2 linked regions of the Macaca fascicularis genome follow. The protein of the gene in region 1 purifies or fractionates together with the protein of each later gene. This does not show direct contact. Links are inferred from orthologs where the notes say so. Each region holds a gene or a part of one and is shown in the gene's direction. Other genes may lie near its edges.

Region 1 (11,582 bases):
CGTTGCTTCGCACTCAGCTGTTGTGAATGGTCCTGCTGTGTACATGGCCACATATAAAAGGACTTTTAACTTTGTTCAGCTTTGTTTTCTCATCTGTAAAATGGAAAAGGGCCTGCTCTGCATAGTTGCAGAGATAAGTGAGTGTTAGTGTGCTTGACACTCTTCCTCTGAGGAAATAGCACCCATGGTTGCCACTTTGTGGCTACTGGAGCCTCACATGGCATTTGGAGGTGTGGCTCACTATCCCACCCCCGCCTGGGGCTCCAGGCTAACCCAGGCAAAACTGTAGGTGCTCTCTGACCCTCAGTGTGCTCCCTCTCGGCCCGCAGCCCCCGGTCCCTGAGAAGCGGCCCCCTGAAGTACAGCATTTCCGCATGAGTGACGATGTCCACTCACTGGGAAAGGTGACCTCAGGTCAGTCCTATACCCCACCCCCGGTGGCTTGATGTGGCCTGTTCTGAAGGTTTCAGTGATAGACCCCACACCATTCTCTCTCTTCTTCCAGATGTGGCCAAAAGGAGGAAGCTGAACTCAGGAGGTGGCCTGGTGAGCAGCAGAGGCAGAGCCTCTACCCCGGGGGGCTGCTCTGAGGGAGGCTCAGAAGTGGGTCTGCATCCCATCCTCAATAGAAATGGGCAGGGTGTCAGTGGCCTCAATTTTTCTGATCTTTTTCTAGTCGGAGGAGTTAGGTTCTGCCCGGCGTTCAGAAGTGACCCTGGCGAAAGGGGACTCCGGGTCCCTGGAGGAGTGGGAGACGGTGGTGGGTGATGACTTCAGTCTCTACTATGATTCCTACTCTGTGGATGAGCGCGTGGACTCCGACAGCAAGGTGAGGCAGAGCTGGTCCGCCCTCCCCGCCAGTGCTCCCCCAGGGCTGGGGTTTACTGTCCAGTCTTCCTTGTTCCCTGTTTTTCTCCTTTCTGTCCTTTTTACCTCTGAACATCCACTAAGTCATTGCCCCATGCTGTCTGTAACTCCTTTTTTTGGGAGGGGGAGACAGAGTCTTGCTCTGTCTCCCAGGCTGGAGTGCAATATCACAATCTGGGCTCACTGCAACCTCTGCCTCCAGGGTTAAAGCAATTCTCCTGCCTCAGCCTCCCAAGTCGCTGGGATTACAGGCGCCCACCACCACGCCCGGATAATTTTTGTATTTTTAGTAGAGACGGGGTTTCCCCTTGTGGGCCAGGCTGGTCTCTAACTCCTGACTTTAGTTGATCCACCCATCTCGGCCTCCCAAAGGGTTGGGATTACAGGCGTGAGCCACCGCACCCAACTGCAACTCATTTTCAATGTACGCTCTGCCCATTTCATCCACAAAGGTGGCCACCACCCTGCACATTGGATTTACGATTTTTTTTTTATCAGCTAATGAAATGATCATTAAACAAACATGTACTGTTTAAAAAAAGAAAACAAAAAAGGAAATGACCAGAGAGCACTTTTTTTAAACATACATTATACTGTTTATATAAAATTCAAAAGCATTCCATTGTCATTTATTTGCTTATTCGTTGCTCTTTGTCTGGTTTTATCTTATGTTTGCCTACACAGTAGAATGTTTAGTCTGTCTAGTTTTGCCTTTTATTTAACGTTTTATCATGAAAACTTGCAAGCATTATCAAAAGAGTAGAATAGGAAATCCCCGTGTACCCATCACACAGCTCCAGCCATTATCAGTACACAGCCCATCTTGACCCATCTGTACTTCTCCCAACACACACACGTACTAGGTTATTTTAAAGCAAGTCCCAGACCTTGTATCATTTTACGTAAATGTATTTCCATATATATATATAAAAATATAAGGCCTCTTTTTGTCGTTCAACATCACTACACTACTGTTTTCACACCTAAAAAAAATTACTGATTTCTTTTTTTTTTTTTTTTTTTTTTTTTGAGACGGAGTCTTGCTCTGTTGCCCAGGCTGGAGTGCAGGGGCCGGATCTCAGCTCACTGCAAGCTCCGCCTCCCGGGTTCAAGCCATTCTCCTGCCTCAGCCTCCCGAGTAGCTGGGACTACAGGCGCCTGCCACCTCGCCCGGCTAGTTTTTTGTATTTTTTAGTAGAGACGGGGTTTCACCGTTTTAGCCAGGATGGTCTCGATCTCCTGACCTCGTCATCTGCCCGTCTCGGCCTCCCAAAGTGCTGGGATTACAGGCTTGAGCCACCGCGCCTGGCCTACTGATTTCTTAATACCATCAAATATCCTGTCAGTCTTCACATTTCCTCAGCTCTCATAAATGGGTTTTTGTCAAGATCCAAATGAGGCCCGCACCTTGATTTGATTAACATTTGTCTTAGGTCGGCCGGGCGTGGTGACTCACGCCTGTAATCCCAGCACTTTGGGAGGCCGAGGCGGGCGGATCACATGAGGTCAGGAGTTCGAGACCAGCCTGACCAACATGGAGAAACCCCGTCTCTACTAAAAAAATACAAAATTAGCTGGGCGTGGTGGTGCATGCCTGTAATCCCAGCTACTCAGGAGGCTGAGGCAGGAGAATCACTTGAACCTGGAAGGCGGAGGTTGCAGTGAGCCAAGATCGTGCCATTGCACTCCAGCCTGGGCAACAAGAGCAAAATACCATCTCAAAAAAAAAAAAAATTTGTCTTAGGTCTCTCTTGGTATTTAGGTTTCCCCATCTTCTTTTTGTTTGTTTGTTTGTTTGTTTGTTTTTGTGTTTTGAGATGGAGTCTCACACTGTGGCCCAGGCTGGAGTGCAGTGGCACGATCTTGGCTCACTGCAAGCTCCGCCTCCTGAGTTCAAGCAATTCTCCTGTCTCAGTCTCCCAAGTAGCTGGAATTATAGGCACCCGCCACCACACCCAGCTCATTTTTCGTATTTTTAGTAGAGACAGGATTTCACTATGTTGGCCAGGCTGGTCTCAAACTCCTGATCTTGTGATCTGCCCACCTCAGCCTCCCAAAGCACTGGAATTACAAGCATGAGCCACCACACCTGCCTGGTTTCCCCATCTTCTAAAAAAAAAATTTCTGGCCAGGCGTGGTGGCTCACGCTTGTAATCCCAGCACTTTGGGAGGCAGGTGGGTCACCTGAGGTCAGGAGACCAGCCTGGCCAACATGGTGAAAACCCATCCCTAATAAAAATACAAAACTTAGCTGGGTGTGGTCGCAGGCACCTGTAATCCCAGCTACTTGGGAGGCTGAGGCAGGAGAATTGCTTGAACCCAGAGGTGGAGGTTGCAGTGAGCTGAGATCACACTATTGCACTGCAGCCTGGGCAACAAGAGCGAAACTCAATAAATAAATAAGAAAGACATTTTTTTCTTGCCATTTATTTGTCAAACCAGGTCAGTTGTATAGAATTTTTCACATTCTGTATGACGTTGGCTGTTTGGGTAGAGATTGACACATCCTCTCTGCCCATATTTCTTGTAAACTGGTAGATCTAGAGGCGTAATCGACTTCAGGTGCCAAGAAGACTTGACAGTGGGTGCAAGTGCTTCTGGCCACATCACATCAGGATGCATGGAACATCTCATATGGTCATTTTTCTTAGTGATAAGATTGACCAGTGGGTTCAGGTGATGGCAGCCTGAACATTTCATATAAAATTTCTCATGAGCTTCATGTCTAGTGTTTTTAGCAACCATTGGTGGTCTTGCCTGTTTATGAACATCATAAAAGGGGGATCAAACTATGTTTATCTTCTGGTACTTGTTTTTTGTTTTTTAATTTAATGTCACATTACCAAGATCTGTGTACATTGCTGTCTATAACTGTGGCACCTTTTTCACTACTGTGTAATAGTCCATGCACCCTCTCTTTATGTGGCCCTTTTTCTCCTCTCCTACCCACACTCATCTTCCCCAGCAGCCATCTGTGGGTAGTGGCGGGGGGCAATGGTGGTGGTGGTTTTTTTAATCTATCTCATTGTCTGAGTCCTGGGGATTGGATATGTCCTGTTCTGCCTCTCTCCCAGTCTGAAGTTGAAGCTCTAACTGAACAACTAAGTGAAGAGGAGGAGGAAGAAGAGGAGGAAGAAGAAGAGGAGGAAGAGGAGGAGGAAGAGGAAGAAGAAGAGGAAGATGAGGAGTCAGGGAATCAGTCAGATAGGGTAAGAGACGGAGGCTGATATCTCCAGAGGAGTGGGAGACTGTGGGGCTGGTGGTCTGGTCCTGAAGGTGTTGGGGGGCCCCCTTGGGGTGAGGGTTCGTAACTCCTCCTCCTCCCCCTTCCCAGAGTGGTTCCAGTGGCCGGCGCAAGGCCAAGAAGAAGTGGCGAAAAGACAGCCCATGGGTGAAGCCATCTCGGAAACGGCGCAAGCGGGAGCCTCCGCGGGCCAAGGAGCCACGAGGTAAGGAGGCTCTGCTGCTTTTGGGTGCCCTCCTCCAGCCCCCGCCCAGCCCCCAGAGTGTGTGCACGCACACACACGCTCTCGCATGTCCACCTGCATGTACCCACGCGTCCAGGCACCTGTGAGCTCGCACTCTCACTCTCTCTGTCTCTGTGTCAGGAGTGAATGGTGTGGGCTCCTCAGGCCCCAGTGAGTACATGGAGGTCCCTCTGGGGTCCCTGGAGCTGCCCAGCGAGGGGACCCTCTCCCCCAACCACGCTGGTAATTGCCAATTGCCGGGACAGGGAGCCACTAGGGGGCAACCTCAGGGCAGGAGGGAAAGGGAAGGAGGGGAACCACGCCAGAGCCGGGGTGTCCATGGCCAGGCTTTAGGGGTTCTGGGGCATGGGGGTGAGGTAGGGAGGGAGTGACAGGACCCGCCAGGGGTCCCAATGGGTGAAGTTCAGGGCCTCCCTCAGCTCCTCTTTTTCTCCGTCCAAGGGGTGTCCAATGACACATCTTCGCTGGAGACAGAGCGAGGGTTTGAGGAGTTGCCCCTGTGCAGCTGCCGCATGGAGGCACCCAAAATCGACCGTATCAGCGAGAGGGCGGGGCACAAGTGCATGGCCACCGAGAGTGTGGACGGAGAGGTGGGGCCGTGGGCTGGTGGGAGAGGTGCCAGGGCGTCCAGTCCCGGGCCCCAGCCTCACCCTTTCTTCTCACCCATCCTCACCACGCACAGCTGTCAGGCTGCAATGCCGCCATCCTCAAGCGGGAGACCATGAGGCCATCCAGCCGCGTGGCCCTGATGGTGCTCTGTGAGACCCACCGCGCCCGCATGGTCAAACACCACTGCTGCCCGGGCTGCGGCTACTTCTGCACGGCGGTGAGTGACCAGTGGGGCAGACAGGTAGAATGCCCCATGGCAGACGGGGCCCCGGCAACCTGACCATGTCGTTTCCCTGCTCCCAGGGCACCTTCCTGGAATGCCACCCTGACTTCCGTGTGGCCCACCGCTTCCACAAGGCCTGTGTGTCTCAGCTGAATGGGATGGTCTTCTGTCCCCACTGTGGGGAGGATGCTTCTGAAGCTCAAGAAGTGACCATCCCCCGGGGTGATGGGGTGACCCCACCGGCTGGTGCTGCAGCTCCTGCACCCCCACCCCTGTCCCAGGATGCCCCCGGGAGAGCAGACACTTCTCAGCCCAGGTACTGGCCTCCCCCTTCTCTACTGTCTGTTCCCTGCCCCATCACTATTGTTCCTGGACATGAGCTCCTTCTTCCACAGCGCCCGGATGCGAGGGCATGGGGAGCCCCGGCGCCCACCCTGCGATCCCCTGGCTGACACCATCGACAGCTCAGGGCCCTCCCTGACCCTGCCCAATGGGGGCTGCCTTTCAGCCGTGGGGCTGCCACTGGGGCCAGGCCGGGAGGCCTTGGAAAAGGCCCTGGTCATCCAGGAGTCAGAGAGGTGAGTGGGGAGTTGTTCAGGCACAGTAACTGGGGCTGAGGCCAGAGGAGCAGTGTCAAGACTGATGCTGGAATCTGAGGAGCTCCCCTTCTCTCCCCACTCCCGTGCTCCCTTGGCAGGCGGAAGAAGCTCCGTTTCCACCCTCGGCAGTTGTACCTGTCCGTGAAGCAGGGCGAGCTGCAGAAGGTGATCCTGATGCTGTGTGAGTGCCACCTATTCCTTCAGCAGACCTTGACCAAGTTCCATGTATATACCAGGCACTGGGCACAGGGCCAGGAGTAGTCATGAAGGATATAGTCCTTGCCCTGAAGGACTTAGTGTGGTGGGGAAAAGACACACATAACCCGTGACGATGGGAACGGTGGTGACTCATAGGTGCTGGGTCCTGTTCTGAGTGCTTATACTTGTTAGCCTTGGCTTGCACAGGGAGGTTAGGGACGTTGCACAGTGCACAGCGGTACTGAGAAGCAAGGCAGGGTTTGAATTCAGGCAGAGCTGATGCCTTTGACTCCTTATTCTGATAAATGCCGTGGTGGAGGCAAGCCCAGAGAATGCCAGGAGGGGCCCTGACCCAACTTGGGGCTCTGAGAAGCCTTCCTGAAAGAAGTGCCACCTGCCCCCTAGCTTGCTTACCACTTGTCCCTCCCTCTCCCGGTGTGGCGGGCTCTCCCCGCAGTGGACAACCTGGACCCCAACTTCCAGAGCGACCAGCAGAGCAAGCGCACGCCCCTGCATGCAGCCGCCCAGAAGGGCTCCGTGGAGATCTGCCATGTGCTGCTGCAGGTCAGCACGGGCCCGGCCCCATGCCTCATTCACCAGGCCCTTAGGCCCCTCCCCTGCCCCATGCCTCCCTGGTGCCAGCCCTCCTGCCCCCTCACAGGCTGGAGCCAACATAAACGCAGTGGACAAACAGCAGCGGACGCCACTGATGGAGGCCGTGGTGAACAACCACCTGGAGGTGGCCCGTTACATGGTGCAGCGTGGTGGCTGTGTCTATAGCAAGGTGTGCATGCAGGCAGCAGGGCGTGGCCCCGGAGTCAGGGACCAGGTTTGGGGTGCCAGCCGGAGACTCATTTGCCCATGTCTCCCTCAGGAGGAGGACGGCTCCACCTGCCTCCACCACGCAGCCAAAATCGGGAACTTGGAGATGGTCAGTCTGCTGCTGAGCACAGGACAGGTGGACGTCAACGCCCAGGTCAGTGGCCCACCCAGCGCAGCTCCTCCGGCTCCCTGGTGCCTGGGTTCCTTGGCTCGGCCTCAGACTTTGGGCCCCCTTTCTACATCTGACCTCTGGCCCTTTCACTCTGCCTCAGGCCGCTTGTGTCTGTCCCCCTTGCTTTCTTCCTCATTTGTATTTCTCTTCATTCTTTTCTTTTTCTTGTTTCTTTCTCTTGATCAAGCTTCAGAATAATCAGTTCCTGCCTTCATCTCTGAAAGTGTCCAGTGAGGCTTTTTTAACTCTCAGGTTGTCATACATTGGATGTGTTTTCGTCATTTATTGGGATTCTTCTCAGTCTTTGAATTATTCCATCATTATCTAGGAGAAGCCCCTTCAAGAGGCCTCTGTGGCCGTGACATGACCCAGTGGCCTTTGAGAGCGTCCTGACCTTTCAGCACATTTCCTGCCCCTGACTCAGCATCCACCATTTCTCTAAGAAACTCTGCTTCCTTTATGGGAAACTTTTTTTTTCTTTTCTTTTTTTTTTTTTTTGAGATGGAGTCTTGCTCTGTTGCCCAGGCTGGAGTGCAATTGCGTGATCTTGGCTCACTGCAACCTCCACCTCCTGGGTTCAAGTGATTCTCTTGCCTCAGCCTCCTGAGTAGCTGGGATTATAGGCACCAGCCACCGTGCCCAGCTAATTTTTGTATTTTTAGTAGAGATGGATTTTCACCATATTGGCCAGGCTGATCTTGAACTCCTGACCTCATGATCCACCCACCTCGGCCTCCCAGCGTGCTGGGATTACAGGCGTGATCTGGCCACTGCGCCGGCCAGAAACATGTTTTAGAGAATAGTCTATGGACCTCGGAGTGTTTATTATTACTGGGTGGTCACTGCTTCTAGGACTTGTGAATGGGCAGACTGAGGAAATTTTTGTTTGTTTTTTGTTTTAAGAGACAGAGTCTTGCTGTGTCACCCAGGCTGAAGTACAGTAGCAATTCACAGACAGTCATAGTTCACTGCATTCTCGAAATCCTGGGCTCAAGCGACACTCCCATCTCAGTCACATGAGTAGCTGGGACTACAGGCACGCGCCTCCATGACCAGCTCCTGGCTGTATTTTTTGGAAAGAGAACAATTACTCACTTTACTTTCTCTCCGGCATCAGGCAGTAGGCACTACTAGTCCCATTTTTTAGATGAAGAAACTATGACCCAGAGACGTTAAGTGACTTACCCCGGGTCCCACAGCTCGTGAATGGTGGAGCTGGGATTCACACACACAGCCAATCTTGACCATTTGCAGCTTTGGTGAGCAGGCCCAGCCGCCCCCACCCTCACTCCCTTCCCACCCACAGGACAGTGGGGGGTGGACGCCCATCATCTGGGCTGCAGAGCACAAGCACATCGAGGTGATCCGCATGCTACTGACGCGGGGCGCCGACGTCACCCTCACTGACAACGTGAGTGAGAGTTTGGTTGAGGTAGGGCAGCCCCAGGCCCCTGAGCAAGGTGGAGGCTGGATTCAAGGGCCCAGCTGCCTGCACCTCATCTGTTCCCCTCCTATCTCCACAGGAGGAGAACATCTGCCTGCACTGGGCCTCCTTCACGGGCAGCGCCGCCATCGCCGAAGTCCTTCTGAATGCGCGCTGCGACCTCCATGCTGTCAACTACCATGGGGACACCCCCCTGCACATCGCAGCCCGGGAGAGCTACCATGACTGCGTGCTGTGAGCCCCTGCCCCGCCCTTGATGCCCCTGCCCCCACTTCTTGCAGCCTCAGACCCCACATTGGGCACCTTGTCCCCTCTTCAGGTTATTCCTGTCACGTGGGGCCAACCCTGAGCTGCGGAACAAGGAGGGGGACACAGCATGGGACCTGACTCCCGAGCGCTCCGACGTGTGGTTTGCGCTTCAGCTCAACCGCAAGCTCCGACTCGGGGTGGGAAATCGGGCCATCCGCACGGAGAAGATCATCTGCCGGTGAGCCCTGGGCCCCTCTCTGCACCCAAGGCCACCTCCCCACCCACCCTCCCCAGGCTCCGTTGCATCCTCACAACATTCCCCAACCCCTCCCCATGTACCACTGAATCCCCAGAACCACCCACAGGCCCCCTCCCCACTGGGGTTGCCAGATACAGCAAGTAAAAATAGAAGATATCCCGTTAAACTGGAATTTCAGATGCACAGATGCATACTTTTTTAGTGCGAGAATGTCCTGTGTAATTTTTGGGACATAGTGTACTAAAAAGCTATTTCTTGTTTATCAAAAATTCCACGTTAACTGGCTGTCCTGCATCTTACCTGCCAACCTTACTCCCCTGCCCCCAGCCCCAGGAACCTCCCCAACTGTCTCCCTGTACCTGGAGTAGCTCCTCACCCAGTTCCAGCCTGCCATCACCTTCTCCCCGTCTTCTGCAGGGACGTGGCTCGGGGCTATGAGAACGTGCCCATTCCCTGTGTCAATGGCGTGGACGGGGAGTCCTGCCCCGAGGATTACAAGTATATCTCAGAGAACTGTGAGACGTCCACCATGAACATTGACCGCAACATCACCCACCTGCAGGTGAGTACGGGGCCGGGGCCTCCCCAAAAGGACACCGAGAGCTGCCGAGTACAGTTAGACAAGCTTCAAACCAACAAAGGCACCTGGCCTAGGAAGGGTTGGCTGAAAGGGAGCCCTGGTGTGGGGTCGCATCCACCCCAGGGGAGGGAACCTTTTCCTGGGTCACAGAAAGGTGTCATATGAACTCCCAGTAGCCGTGGGGACATCACCATGAGCAACATACTGATTCCCCATCACCCTCGGACCATCGCCACCCACTGTTGTAACACATGGACCCCAAAGAGAGGACAGTGGTTAGGGGGTCGGGGCACCGAGAGTAGAGGAACCCAGACCTATCGTGGGGTTGAGCTGACCCCTGCCTCCTCGCCCCAGCACTGCACGTGTGTGGACGACTGCTCCAGCTCCAACTGCCTGTGCGGCCAGCTCAGCATCCGGTGCTGGTATGACAAGGTGCGTGCCCCTTGCCTTGGCCACAGACACCCGGCCCCTCCTTCAGAGGAGCCAGCCTCCAACAGGCCAGCTCCCTGGGACCTTGTCCTTCACCTACCCTGTGGGGGAAGTGACTGAGAGGACGGGGCAAGGCCTGGGAATCCTGGGACATGGCTGTGTGCCCAGGTCTATGCAAATCAGGGATGATGCTCCTGCATTTCCTGCTCTTGGATCTCAGAGCCTGTGTGACCTCCCCAACCCCATCTTCTCTGTCTCTGGGTTGGGTTCAGCAGTGGATTTTTCTGTAGAGTCTTGGGGTTCCTGGGCGGGCAGCTGAGGTGGCCCCCAAGGTGAAACCACTGTGTTCCCCTCCGCACCCTAGGATGGGCGATTGCTCCAGGAATTTAACAAGATTGAGCCCCCGCTGATTTTCGAGTGTAACCAGGCGTGCTCCTGCTGGAGAAACTGCAAGAACCGGGTCGTACAGAGTGGTATCAAGTGAGGCCCTGCTCCACAGCCCACCCTCTCCCCACCTCACCCTTTCCTCCCTGCCCCTGGGGCTTTTCCAGGGCCTCCACCCAACAGCGCCCTCTCTCCTACTCCCAGGGTGCGACTACAGCTCTACCGAACAGCCAAAATGGGCTGGGGGGTCCGCGCCCTGCAGACCATCCCACAGGGGACCTTCATCTGCGAGTAAGTCACCAGGAGCACCTTGACACCTGGTGGGAAGAAGATACATGGCCACTGCTGACTGCTAGGCCTCCCTCTCATCCCCCTGCCCTGAGGAGTCACATGTCTCCATCTGGCCACTCTCTAGCCAGCCTCCTCTGACCCCTATTCCTGCAGTTGAGCAGCCAGCCTCCTCTGACCCCCATCCCCGCAGCTGAGAATGGCACCTGCCTCCACTCTGCCCAGACCACAGGTCTTCCCTCCCTCCACCTCCACCCTCTACCTTCCCCTCTACCCCCTCCTCGCCCTTCCTAGCTGGAGAAAGTGCCAGTTTGGGAGACAAACAGACTTGGGTTTGAGCCCCTTTCTGCTTCTGGATGTCCTTGGCCAAGTTTCTCAACTTCTGTGAGCCTTATTTTTCTTGTCTGTAGAGTGGAGGTGGTAACAGCTACCTTTCTGTCCACCTCCTCAGGGGCCTGTCCCTTTCCATCAGTTAGCTGCCCAGCATCTGTAATCCCCCCCTTTCTCTTGGCTCCCATCTCATGACCCTCAGTCTTACCTTGGTCTCCTTTGGCCTTTATTTTTTATTTTATTTTATTTATTTATTTATTTTTTTTTTTATTTATTTTTTTTTTTTTGAGACGGAGTCTCACGCTGTTGCCCAGGCTGGAGTGCAATGGCGCGATCTCGGCTCACTGCAAGCTCCGCCTCCCGGGTTCCCGCCATTCTCCTGCCTCAGCCTCCTGAGTAGCTGGGACTACAGGCGCCCGCCACCGCGCCCGGCTAATTTTTTGTATTTTTAGTAGAGACGGGGTTTCACTGTGGTCTCGATCTCCTGACCTTGTGATCCGCCCGCCTCGGCCTCCCAAAGTGCTGGGATTACAGGCTTGAGCCACCGCGCCCGGCCTATTTTATTTATTTTTTGAGACGGAGTTTCACTCTTGTTGCCCAAGCTGGAGTGCAGTGGCACAATCTTGACTCACTGCAGTCTC
Region 2 (11,582 bases), on another chromosome or scaffold:
CTCTGTTTTCCAAATGAACTCTTTAAAATCAGAGACTCTAAATGGGCACAATTGTGGCAGTCCATTTGGGAAAAGAAAGATCTAGATTGCAGTATCTTCATGTATTTAGATATATTTTATAAAAATCACACTATAACAGTATCAGTACTTAATATATACTTTTAAAGTACCAGATGTGTTCCATCCAGTGAATCTCCAGAGCTAGAGAATAATTAAAATGTGAGATTAAAATGTGAGAGATTGAAGTATACACACATTATATAGATAGAAAAGAAATCTCAGTGTGAGGATTATAAAGAAGAGTTCACTGCCTTCATTCCTATATGGTTGTATGTTCTAGTCAAGCCCCAGCCCCAAGAGGTTGGTTACCTTAGGAACCATCTCTCTAGTTCAGTCTGGATGTGGTCCCTTAGGCCTTTTTGGCTGGAAATCAGCCTCTTCTTCCTATCTTCATTAGCATTTTATTGGTAAGTCAGTTTTGGTACAACAGGTGTAAGAAGAGTACTATCTCCATCCATCAAATGGCCCTGACTTGAAGGTCAGCATCTGCCATTTCTTAATGACTAACCTCCTGATGTGAGGGAGAAGGAGCTAGGAACTAGCACCTCTTCTGCAGCTAGGAGTTGGATGCCACTCCAACCTTATAATATGTTGGTGTTTGATAACTTTACCCTATTGTCTTGAAATTAGAGCAGACTTAACTTGAGATATAGTATATGGTGTTTATCCTTTTTGATACAGGGTCTTACTCTGTCACCCTCCCAGGCTCATGCGATCCACCTGCCTCACCACCTGCATAGCTGAGACTGTAGGCACACTACTATGCCCGGCTAATTTTTTATTTTTTGTAGAGATGGGTTCTTGCTCTGTTGCCCAGGCTGGTCTTGAACTCCTGTGTGCAAGCAGTCCTCCCACTTTGGCCTCCCAAAGTGCTGGGATTATAGGCGTGAGCCACCGAGCCTGGTCAGTTTATCTTTTAAAAATTCAATTTCTCCCACCTTCAGCCAGCCTTCCTTTAGCTTATGCAGACATGATTGCCCCTCCTTTTGTTACAGTGTAAAACAACTCATTTCTTAAAGTACAATCTGCAAATACAGTGTGTATTCCTGTTTTTGTTTTTTTTTTTAATTTAATTTTTTAGAGACAGGGTGTCGTTCTGTCATGCTGGCTGGAGTGCAGTGGTGCAGTCATAACTCAAGCACCCTCAAACTCCTGGGTTCATGCCTTCCTCTCGCTTCAGCCTCCTGAGTAGTTAGGACTGCAAGTGCATGCCACTGTGCCTGGCTACATTCCAGTATTTTTATTTATCATGTACTATGCTCACTTTCCTTATTTCTCACAGATTATCAGCCCTCTTAGTTCACATTATAACAGGATGCTGTATATTTAACCTGATGTTAGATTTTGAAGAAGGCAGTATATACGCATATGTACAGAAGGGCAGTGTAAAGCAGTGAGTTAAACTGCCCAGGTTCGCAATCCAGCTCTACTTCTTATTTCAGTTTGTGACTTAGGATAGGTTACTTAAGATTGTTAAACTTCAGATGTTATTACAAGAATAATATATCTAAAGCACTTAACATAATATTTGGCACATAATAAACACAAAATAAATCTTAGTAGTTAATGTCATTCATAAGATTCAAAAAAGTCCCTGACCTATAACTGAAAATTTACAACTTTACACATAATTTTCTCTTACACTCTGTTCTCCCCTTTTTATACTCTTTTAACACTTACGTGAATGGGATTAAAACACTGTGCCACTTTATTGTGATGTTTCAATTTAAATTGAAGTAAGCCCTTGAGTAACTGGTAGAATGTAGCCTTTGGTAATATAAACTAATGAGAAATTCTCTGGAACAGGCGGCTGACAGGCCCTGGTATAATAGTGTACTACTTTTGGCCAAGTTTTATTCATCCTTAAGTCTTTTTTTCAGAGGGAAATAACAGAATATTTGTGTTACACCATATCATTACTGTTTATAGCATCGGAATTTGGGGGTGCAGAGACAGAAATCTGTCTGTAACTAGATTACACACAGTCTAACCTCAAACTAGGTTAGACAAAATGAAGAATTTCATGTAAGTCTCATGGAATTTCATTAAAGGAGGGATATATCTGCTCCCCAGGGACTCAAGTGCCACCAGAATTTATTTTCTCTATTTCTGCTTGTCTACATGGTTTACCTCTTTTTGTTTTTGAGACAGTGTCTCACTTTGTCACTCAGGCTGGAGTGCAGCAGTGCAGTCTTGGCTCACTGCAGCCTCGGCTCACTGCAGCCTCGACCTCCCTGGATGAAGCCATCCTCCTGCCTCAGCCCCCCTAGTAGCTGGGACTATGAGCATGCACCACCACACCCAGCTAATTCTTGTTGTATTTTTTGTAGGGACAGTGTTTCGCCATGTTGCCCAGTCTGGTCTCGAACTCCTGAGCTCAAGTGATCTGCCTACCTTGGCCTCCCAAAGTGCTAAGATTACAGGCGTGAGCCACCACGTCCCACCTGACTCACCTGACTTCTCTTTTCAGACCAACTTTCTTCATATGATGCTGTCAGTTTGTAGGTCTCCCACATTTACTTCTTGAGATAGTCTGTGCTTCTTTCTTAAGTTGCTGTTGATAAAAATCCAGAAACAAAGTATGGACAAGCGTGGGTCATGTGCCCACTCCAAATATATGGCCAGAGAATACAGTGATTCCAATTATGTCAGCTGCTGTGGTCCAGGAGGTGAACTTTCAAGGAAAATAAATGTTTGGAATGGAAGAAAGAACATTTCAAAGTACAGAAGTAGAAGAGAGTAGGAGAGGCTTGCAGGGGAAATAAATAATCCTTATGTGATGCTTGTTTATGCTTGCTAAATCTTTAAGTACTTCAGTTAGCACAAAGCAGGAACACAAATACATGCTATTGCAATTTGAAACAGGATTCCTCAGCAAAATTGATTCTGGTTTTTATCGTAGGTGTAGCCCAGAGTTTGCTGCAAGATTTTCACTTTTACCTTAGATTAAATAAGAGACTTTTTATGCTGTCATGCTTCAAGTTGTATTTTTGGTGGTGATGATTTTTTCTTTGTTGCTTACTAAACTGATATTACTCACCTGATATTGGGTGACAGCTGAGTTACAAGTTTAATACTATTAAGTAAGCATTTTTTTTTCTTTTTTTTTTAAATTTTCTTGAGACAGGGTCTTACTCTGTCGCCCAGGCTGGAGTGCAGTGACACAGTCTCGGCTCACTGCAGCCTCTGCCTCCTGGGTTCAAGCAGTTGCCTCAGCCTCCTGAGTAGCTGGGATTACATGCCAGCACCACCATGCCTGGCTAGTTTTTGTATTTTTAATAGAGGTGGGGTTCCACCATGTTGGCCAGTCCAGTCTTGAACTCTTGACCTCAAGTGATCTGCCCCCTCGGTCTCCCAAAGTACTGCGATTACGGGTGTGAGCCACTGCGCCCAGCATAAGTAAGCATTTTGTTGATTGAGTAAGTAAGGATATTTTGTTTACATTTGATAAAACCCATCTAAAAATAACCTTGTGTAAAAATAAACTATTAGAAGGTATATGAATGTGTAGTTGGGTACAAGGAATATATGGAACCAGGGATTCAGCATCACCAGGACCTCCATCTCTCCTAATCCCTGGTTGAATCCTGTTTCGTCTCTTAAATTTTTTCTTTTCCACAACCACTAATTTCATTTAGTTTCTGATCATAATACAGGTGAATGTGTAGTGAATGATAGCAGTGGATTCCCACTTGGCTCAGTCTACTTGGCAAGCAAACTAAATCTTCCCCTGCCTAAGTTCATGTTGAGTGTTTTATTGTGTGTGTAATTTCCCCTAAATACTTCCATAGTGTTAGTAACCATTCAGTATGCTCAAATTGAGTCAGGAATATAACAGATCCCTTTAAAAATTACATAGAACTAGAGAAAGTAGTTAAAAATAGTAATCCTCACTTTCATTAATCTGTAACTGATCTTTCAGTAATGTGTAGCCTTCTGAAATGATACTTTTTTTTTTTTTAGTTACTATAAATGGTATGTCTGCTCTAATCAGGGTGACTGGATTATTCATTTTTGTTTCTGTACCTGTGCATTTGTCATTTGCTGTGACTTGAATGATTTTTCTCCATCTGTGCCAGTTCTATTACGATTGTAATTCAAGCATTCCCCCTCTAAATGCACTGTGATCAGGCCACTTTTGACTCTCTGTTCTCTGCTTAGTCAATATTGGAGGTGTTGGAGAATTTTTCTTTGAGAAATGAATTTTTTTCTTTTTCCTTTTTCCTTTTTTTTTCTTGAGACAGTCTCACTCTGTCACCCAGGCTGGAGTGCAGTGGCATGATCTCATCTCACTGCAACCTCTGCTTCCTGGGTTCAAGCAATTATCCTGCCTCAGCCTCCTGAGTAGCTGAGAGTACAGGTGTGCACCACCATGCCTGTGGCTGATTGTTTTGTATTTTTAGTGGAGTTGGGGTTTTGCCTTGTTGACCAGGCTGGTCTTGAACTCCTGACCTTAAGTGTTCTGCCAACCTCAGCCTCCCAAAGTGCTGGGATTACAGGCGTGAGACACTGCGCTTGGCCTGAGAAATGAATTTTTATAAAGTGAGTCACACTTCTCATCTGTATATCCAAGAGGGAAAAACCTTAATCTAACTATGATTGTCAGACATTCTACATTCTTGATAATGGTTAAAAAAGAAAAATTTTTTCTCCATGTAGTTAGTATGTCACCTATCCTTTTGACAAATATTTGAGCTGGATATCATGTCATATGATAAGCTTTATTAAAGTTAATGTTCAAGCTTTATTACCTCCCATTGGATAAGGTGATTTGCAGGTATCTCATCCAGACCTGTGAGATTGGTGGTTTCCAAGGTGGTCTCATACCAGCAGCATTAGCATCACCTGAGATTTTTTTTTTTTCTTTTTTTAATTGTAGGTTCTCAGGCGTCACTGGAGACTTACTAGGTCAGAAACTTGGGTGAGGCTCAGCAGCCCGTTTTAGTAAACCCTCAAGGTAATTCGGATGCCCTTAAGACAGACCAATGGTAGAGAGCCTGAGGGCATTTATTTGGTTGATTATACACCTCTTTTTTTGGAGTGAACCAAGTACCATGATCTTGTCAGAAGATGAGTTCAAAATAGAGCACGGCTGTGTAATTAGCTGTGTGGTTTCAAAGGATTAGTTATAACACAGTTATAAAAATTAAAGGTAGTAGTAACAGGATAGTTTTGAGGATCAAATAATGAAACAAGTTTTTCATGAACTCTTAAGGCCTATGTAAATTTTAGTTGCAAACTGTTACGCTTATGTTTTATCTTTTTGGGGCCCTTATTCATACTAGTGACTTCAGTGGCTTTTCTTCACAATAGTGATCAGTTGCTAAACTTGCTTCTGATTTTGGGGTGCAGGGTGTGAGCCTAAGCAAAGTTAAATGACCTGAGATTAGGAGGTCTGGGTATTATAATAAAGTCTCTATCAGTGCAGATTTAATGGAATTGTGTGTTTTGACACTGCTTTCATTGTTGCAAGAAAAAAAGACAATGAAATCAAAGCACCTATCACAAATGCCTGACACATAGAAGACACTTTATGGCAGCTATTTTTTATTCTTGTGTATAAAACTAGCTTTATGCTGGGCACGGTGGCTCACGTTTCCAATCCTACATTTTGGGAAGCCAAGGTGGGCAAATCGCTTGCACCCAAGTGTTTGAGACCAGCCTGGGCAACATAGTGAAACCCTTCTCTATGAAAAATACAAAAATTAACCAGGCATGGTGGTGCACATGTATAGTCCCAGCTACTTGGGAGGCTGAGGTGGGAGGATCATTTGAACCCAGTGGGTTGAGGCTGCAGTGAGCCATGATCATGCCACTGCACTCCAGCCTGGGTGACAGAGCAAGATTCTGTCTCAAAAAAATAAATCTAGCCTTTTCATTACATTTCTCTTATTACACTTCTGTCTCTTATTTCGAAGTTTTGTTTTAGTTCCTAAGGACTGACTTCCCACATTCCCAAATAACCAATGTCCTGTACCAGATCCTTGGTACATGGACCAGATACTTGAACACTTAAAGCACTGTTGGTGTTGTACTTTGAGAAACACAGTATAAGAGCTATCAGTTGTTTGCCAGCGGCTTATTTAGCTAGAGTGGCAATATCTTGCCTTGATAAAGTTACCACTTTTTCAGGTTGTAGCTTCTGCAAATCATTAGGGGTCTTGGAATTGATTTATCTTTCAGAAATAGATTCACAAACATTCATAACCAGAATATCCATTTGTAATGTGAGATAGAAGTTTTGGATGATGCCTTCTTCCTAGTTCTTCATAAGAAAATCTTTTCAAATTATAATCATTAATTTTTTCTCACATGGATTTTGAGTGATGGAGGTTAATTGTGTCATCTAATCCAGTCTGATTTACCCATACCCATTGTAGCAATGTGTTTAACACACTAGCTAGACTTATTTCTTTCTTTCCATGACTGCTGGAGAAATATGAACCATGTCTTATTCATGATTACCCTTTTTTTCTAGCTTCTAAACTGATGATTTTTTGAGTGTTTTGCTTCAGACCATGTGCATTGTATGTGGGTGTGCATGAGTGTATAATGTGTTCACATGATTTGGATTAAATTTTCTTTTTATAATCAGAATTCTGTTAACGTTTCCCTGATGCTGTGCATTTCTTGTTTTCTTGTTTACTGGTTAGAGTGAGTAGTTTGTATAGAAAGCTGATCTCATTTCATTGCATATGGACATTTCTTTTGCATCCACAGAGGGTCTGATTTTTGTGGGGATTGAGGGAAGTCCCTGGCCAAGGCACCGTGGTGTATTGATATGAATATGGGCTTTTGGAGTTAGACTGTTTAAATCTGGCTCTACTCCTTGTAACTTGTGTGATTTCTGAAGAAATGCTTAAGCTGTCAGCCTATGTTTTCTCATCTATGAAATGGAAATAATATAACAAGTCGGTATGATAGATGGTAAGGATTGCATGAGATAATTTTATGTGTAAATGGAGATAACCATAGAAAAGAATATATGGTTAATGTAGTCCATTATCATTTCTGTATATTACTACTGGTTTTTGTTTTGTTTTGTTTTGTTTTTTCATGTGTTCGGGCTGAGCTCTGGATGCTCTGAATTTCATCTGCCTTTCTGGGTTTGTTAACTTAACTTATAGTCTAATTCTCGTTGTTCTATTTCTCCACCCTCAAGTATGGTACTCTTATTAAGAGTGGGCATCCATGCATAGCGTTAACTGTCATTGTGCATATATTGAATTGATTGCAAAAAGAATAGTCCATGTTAGACCAAGGCTACTTTTTAATTATACTTAAAAATCTTGTCAGCAATTGGAATTGGTTAATTTTATAGAAATACTAAAAAGATTGGGATATTCATGGGTTTCAGAAATATTTTCAATTTTACTTTTTTATGATCTGAGAATTCATGATACAGCTTTTATTCTTCAGTATAGAATGAATACTCCACAGATTTGTGGATTATAGCCTGGGAATCAGAAATATCACTGATTCAGAAATTAACTTTTATTTTTATTTATTTAGGAAGGTGACATGCCAATTCATGAACTTCTCAGCCTTTATGGTTATGGTAGTACTGTTCGACTACCTGAAGAAGATGAGGAAGAGGAGGAAGAGGAAGAAGAAGGTGAAGATGATGAAGATGCTGATAATGATGACAACAGTGGCTGTAGTGGGGAAAATAAAGTAAGTGTACATACATATATTTAAGATTGTAGTCTTTATTCTTGTTGAAGTTAAAATTTCTTAATACATTTTGATTACTTGTTTTTATAATCTTTACTTTTCCTGATTTTAAAAGTGTTAAACATTAAGATATTACAGAAATACATAACATAAAAATTGGAAATCCCCTGTAATCTGCTCCTGAGAGGTAACAGTTTGGTCTTCTCGTTTCAGGTTTCTTTTTTTTCCAGTGCTTATTCTAATTTATTTATACCAACTTTCTTTTTTTGTTTGTGTGGTTTTTTTGGAGATGGAGTCTCACTCTGTCACCCAGGCTGGAGTGCAGTGGCGCTATCTTGGCTCACTGCAAGCTCTGCCTCCCAGGTTCACGCCATTCTCCTGCCTCAGCCTCCCAAGTAGCTGGGACTACAGGCGCCCACCACTACGCCTGGCTAAGTTTTTGTATTTTTAGTAGAGACAAGGTTTCACCACGTTAGCCAGGATGGTCTCGATCTCCTGACCTCATGAACCGCCTTGGCCTCCCAAAGTGCTGGGATTACAGGCGTGAGCCACCACACCTGGCCATTTATACCAACTTTCAAAAAAATGCTATTGCTTTTAAATAATGAAGGCTAATTGGCAGTTTGTGTTTATTTTTCTTTATTTTGAAATAATTTTAGATTTATAAAACTTTTAAAGTTAGTATAGAAAGTTCCTATATGATCCGCTTCTGCTGAGGTTAACATCTTGGTACGGTGCTAGTAACTGCAGATTGAATTATACCAGTTTTTCTGCTAATGTACTTTTTCCTGTTGCAGGATCCAACCCAGAATACGATATTACATCTAGTATATTCATTTTAGTCTTCTGCTTATATTAGAACAACATTTATATGCTATGGCCTTTCATCTGCAACCATTTTCTTTACATCTTAAAGAAATTAAATTTATTATTCCTCAGGAGGAGAATATAAAGGATTCATCAGGTCAGGAGGATGAAACTCAGTCTTCCAATGATGATCCATCACAATCTGTTGCTTCTCAAGATGCCCAGGAAATTATCCGCCCACGTCGATGTAAATATTTTGATACAAGTAAGTGTTACTGGTTGATAATATTTGAATATAATTTTTACTATTTTAGGTATTACCTAAAATCCTCATTTTTTAAACTGGTCTTTAAATTCATTTAGTCTGAAATTCTTTTCAACAGTAAATGGATTTTTATTGTAAGTTATTAGTTTAGTAATGCACGGTCCCTGTTGTTAGTGAATATACTACGGTAATTGTGTCATGTACTGCTTGACTTCAGTTGTATTTGTTTTTTCCTTGCCCTGTTTTTAAATGTTTGTTTCATGGTCTTTTTATTTCTCATAGGCTTTCCCTTAGTTTCCATGTTTTACTTTCTTTGCCTCTTAGCCTTTTTTAGGTATATTGATAAATACACCTAAATTTCTCTAGTTTAAAAAGAAGAAAAACACTTGAAGAAAAATAAACTGTCATGAAATATGTAGTAAGGTAATATTATCTTTATTCTAAATCTGTTTTTTCCCAAAAGTTTTTATAGGAAATCATTTCATGAGAATACAGTTACGTAGAAAGTTAATGGTTTTTTTGGTTTTGTTTTTTTAAGTGATAGGGTGTTAATTATTTGGTTAGAAATATCTTGGCTTAATTCATTAGATATTTTTGAGCATATCCAAATATTTGATGGTAGATGTAAAAATAATTTGTAGATGTAGACAGCTTAAGCAGTCATTTTATAGTATTGGTGTCTTATTTATTCTAGACAGTGAAGTAGAAGAAGAATCTGAAGAAGATGAAGATTACATTCCATCAGAAGACTGGAAAAAGGTAGTTAGAACAATATTTTCCCAAAATTTAGATAAATTAATATTTTTTTAAAAGCCTAGTGTAATTATTTTTTACTAACTATGTATATTGATAAAATCGATGTAAGCCCTTTTATGACATTTAAATGTTTGGTAAATGTTCAGATTCCTTAACACATCTAGGTTAGAGATATATTTATCTTTTTATAAAATAAAATGAATTTAAAGGATTGGATTTTGTTGAGGAAGTTGGCACTCAAAATAAGATTAGAAATCTACATTTCTGGCCGGGTGTGGTGGCTCACGCCTGTAATCCCAGCACTTTGGGAGGCTGAGGCAGGCAGATCGCTTGAGCCCAGGAGTTTGAGACCAGCCTGGGCAGCATTGCGGGACCCTGTCTCTTTTTTTTTTTTGAGACGGAGTCTCGCTCTGTCACCCAGGCTGAAGTGCAGTGGCCGGATCTCAGCTCACTGCAAGCTCTGCCTCCCGGGTTTATGCCATTCTCCTGCCTCAGCCTCCCGAGTAGCTGGGACTATGGGCGCCCGCCACCACTCCCGGCTAGTTTTTTGTGTTTTTTTAGTAGAGACGGGGTTTCACCATGTTAGCCAGGATGGCCTCCATGTCCTGCCCTCGTGATCTGCTTGTCTCAGCCTCCCAAAGTGGTGGGATTACAGGCTTGAGCCACCATGCCTGGCCCCCTGTCTCATTTTATAAAACAAAACAAAAAATAAAACAAAAATCCACATTTCTGATTTAGTCCTGAAGTAGTGCTGAATTAGGCATTTGTTGCCCTGTAAAAAGTATCATATATATATTTTTCAATATTATGGAAAGCAATTGTGGAGGCTTTGATATTTGTTAAGTAAATTTTGTTTAGTAGTTTGTAAGTTTTTCATTCTGTATTACTTTATAAAAGGAAAACTCTCCAAATGATTGGATTTAATGTTGACATTTATAACTGGTAAGCTTATTGTGTGAAGAAACAGATTTGGCTTCTTCATAACTATATACAACTTAATTTCTGAAATGAATTTAAAGATAATATATTGAGATTAGTTTTTAATTATAAAATATATAGCATATAATTAATCATACAGTTAAGTTAAAGAATTTTAAGTTATTGTAAAAGAACTGAGCTCTTAGGAAAATCTGTCAAAATGTTATGTAGAATTAGCTGGTTGCAATGATGTTTTCCTTTGTTGTCCCAGCTTGGGAGGCTGAGGTAGGCGGAATCACTTCAGCCCAGGAGTTTGAGACCCGGCTGGGCAACCTAGTGAGACCCCATGTCTTCAAAAAAATTTTTTATGTAGAACTGGTTAAAACAAATCATTTATATAAAAGAAATAATGTTATTTTTGTTGAGAGACAAGATTAGCCCAGTGTGCGGTATGTGTTAATTTGAGCAAATGATGGAACTCAAGACAGAAAACAAGAATCACAAAAGTTTATTTGTGTGGCCCATTTGGGCAATGGTTCTTTCATCCTGTTTTTAATCTGATTCCTGCAGTAAGCAGAAATTAAGATGAAAAAAGCTAGAAACCATGGGAGTCCTTTTAAATTGCTGTCCCACTACATATTCAAGTTTATGTATCTTCAACATATGTTGTTTTTTTAATCTGGAGTGTTCAGTAGAGTATTTGATTAAGCATTCAGTGCTTTTTTTTAAATGCAAGAACAAAAGCTAAGAGGTAGAACACCTTCATTGCTGGAGGGTATTAATTACCCATACCTTACTCAGAAAGGGTATTAATTAACCACACCTTTCTCAGAAAAAAAATTATGTAATAAAGCAGGCCAGAGTAAATGCAGATTGTTTTCTTTCAGTGTGATTTTGTTGTTGTAAATAATTGTCAAGGTTCAGAGATTCATTTTTTTTGTTTTTAAAGATTTACGAAATTGGCCGGGCGCGGTGGCTCAAGCCTGTAATCCCAGTACTTTGGGAGGCCGAGACGGGCGGATCACGAGGTCAGGAGATCGAGACCATCCTGGCTAATACTGTCAAACCCCGTCTCTACTAAGAAATACAAAAAACTAGCCGG

Evidence for each region.
Region 2: the proteins of EHMT2 (region 1) and MIER1 purify together in Homo sapiens (co-immunoprecipitation; 3 studies listed by BioGRID and IntAct, with this or other methods). This does not show direct contact. The link is inferred for Macaca fascicularis from reciprocal best matches to the Homo sapiens genes EHMT2 and MIER1.

Annotation. Positions count from the first base shown.
Region 1 is NC_088378.1:139,817,616-139,829,197, forward strand, and holds part of EHMT2 (histone-lysine N-methyltransferase EHMT2), read left to right. Parts: intron 1-329; coding exon 330-414; intron 415-505; coding exon 506-546; intron 547-676; coding exon 677-829; intron 830-3,941; coding exon 3,942-4,076; intron 4,077-4,201; coding exon 4,202-4,316; intron 4,317-4,475; coding exon 4,476-4,577; intron 4,578-4,796; coding exon 4,797-4,945; intron 4,946-5,037; coding exon 5,038-5,181; intron 5,182-5,267; coding exon 5,268-5,503; intron 5,504-5,582; coding exon 5,583-5,765; intron 5,766-5,884; coding exon 5,885-5,967; intron 5,968-6,441; coding exon 6,442-6,548; intron 6,549-6,645; coding exon 6,646-6,768; intron 6,769-6,858; coding exon 6,859-6,960; intron 6,961-7,783; exon of another isoform or gene 7,784-8,041; intron 8,042-8,163; exon of another isoform or gene 8,164-8,284; coding exon 8,285-8,410; intron 8,411-8,501; coding exon 8,502-8,656; intron 8,657-8,741; coding exon 8,742-8,909; intron 8,910-9,347; coding exon 9,348-9,492; intron 9,493-9,864; and 6 more. UniProt on the Homo sapiens protein: Histone methyltransferase that specifically mono- and dimethylates 'Lys-9' of histone H3 (H3K9me1 and H3K9me2, respectively) in euchromatin.
Region 2 is NC_088375.1:167,723,426-167,735,007, reverse strand, and holds part of MIER1 (mesoderm induction early response protein 1), read left to right. Parts: intron 1-7,572; coding exon 7,573-7,734; intron 7,735-8,673; coding exon 8,674-8,806; intron 8,807-9,500; coding exon 9,501-9,565; intron 9,566-11,582. UniProt on the Homo sapiens protein: Transcriptional repressor regulating the expression of a number of genes including SP1 target genes. Probably functions through recruitment of HDAC1 a histone deacetylase involved in chromatin silencing.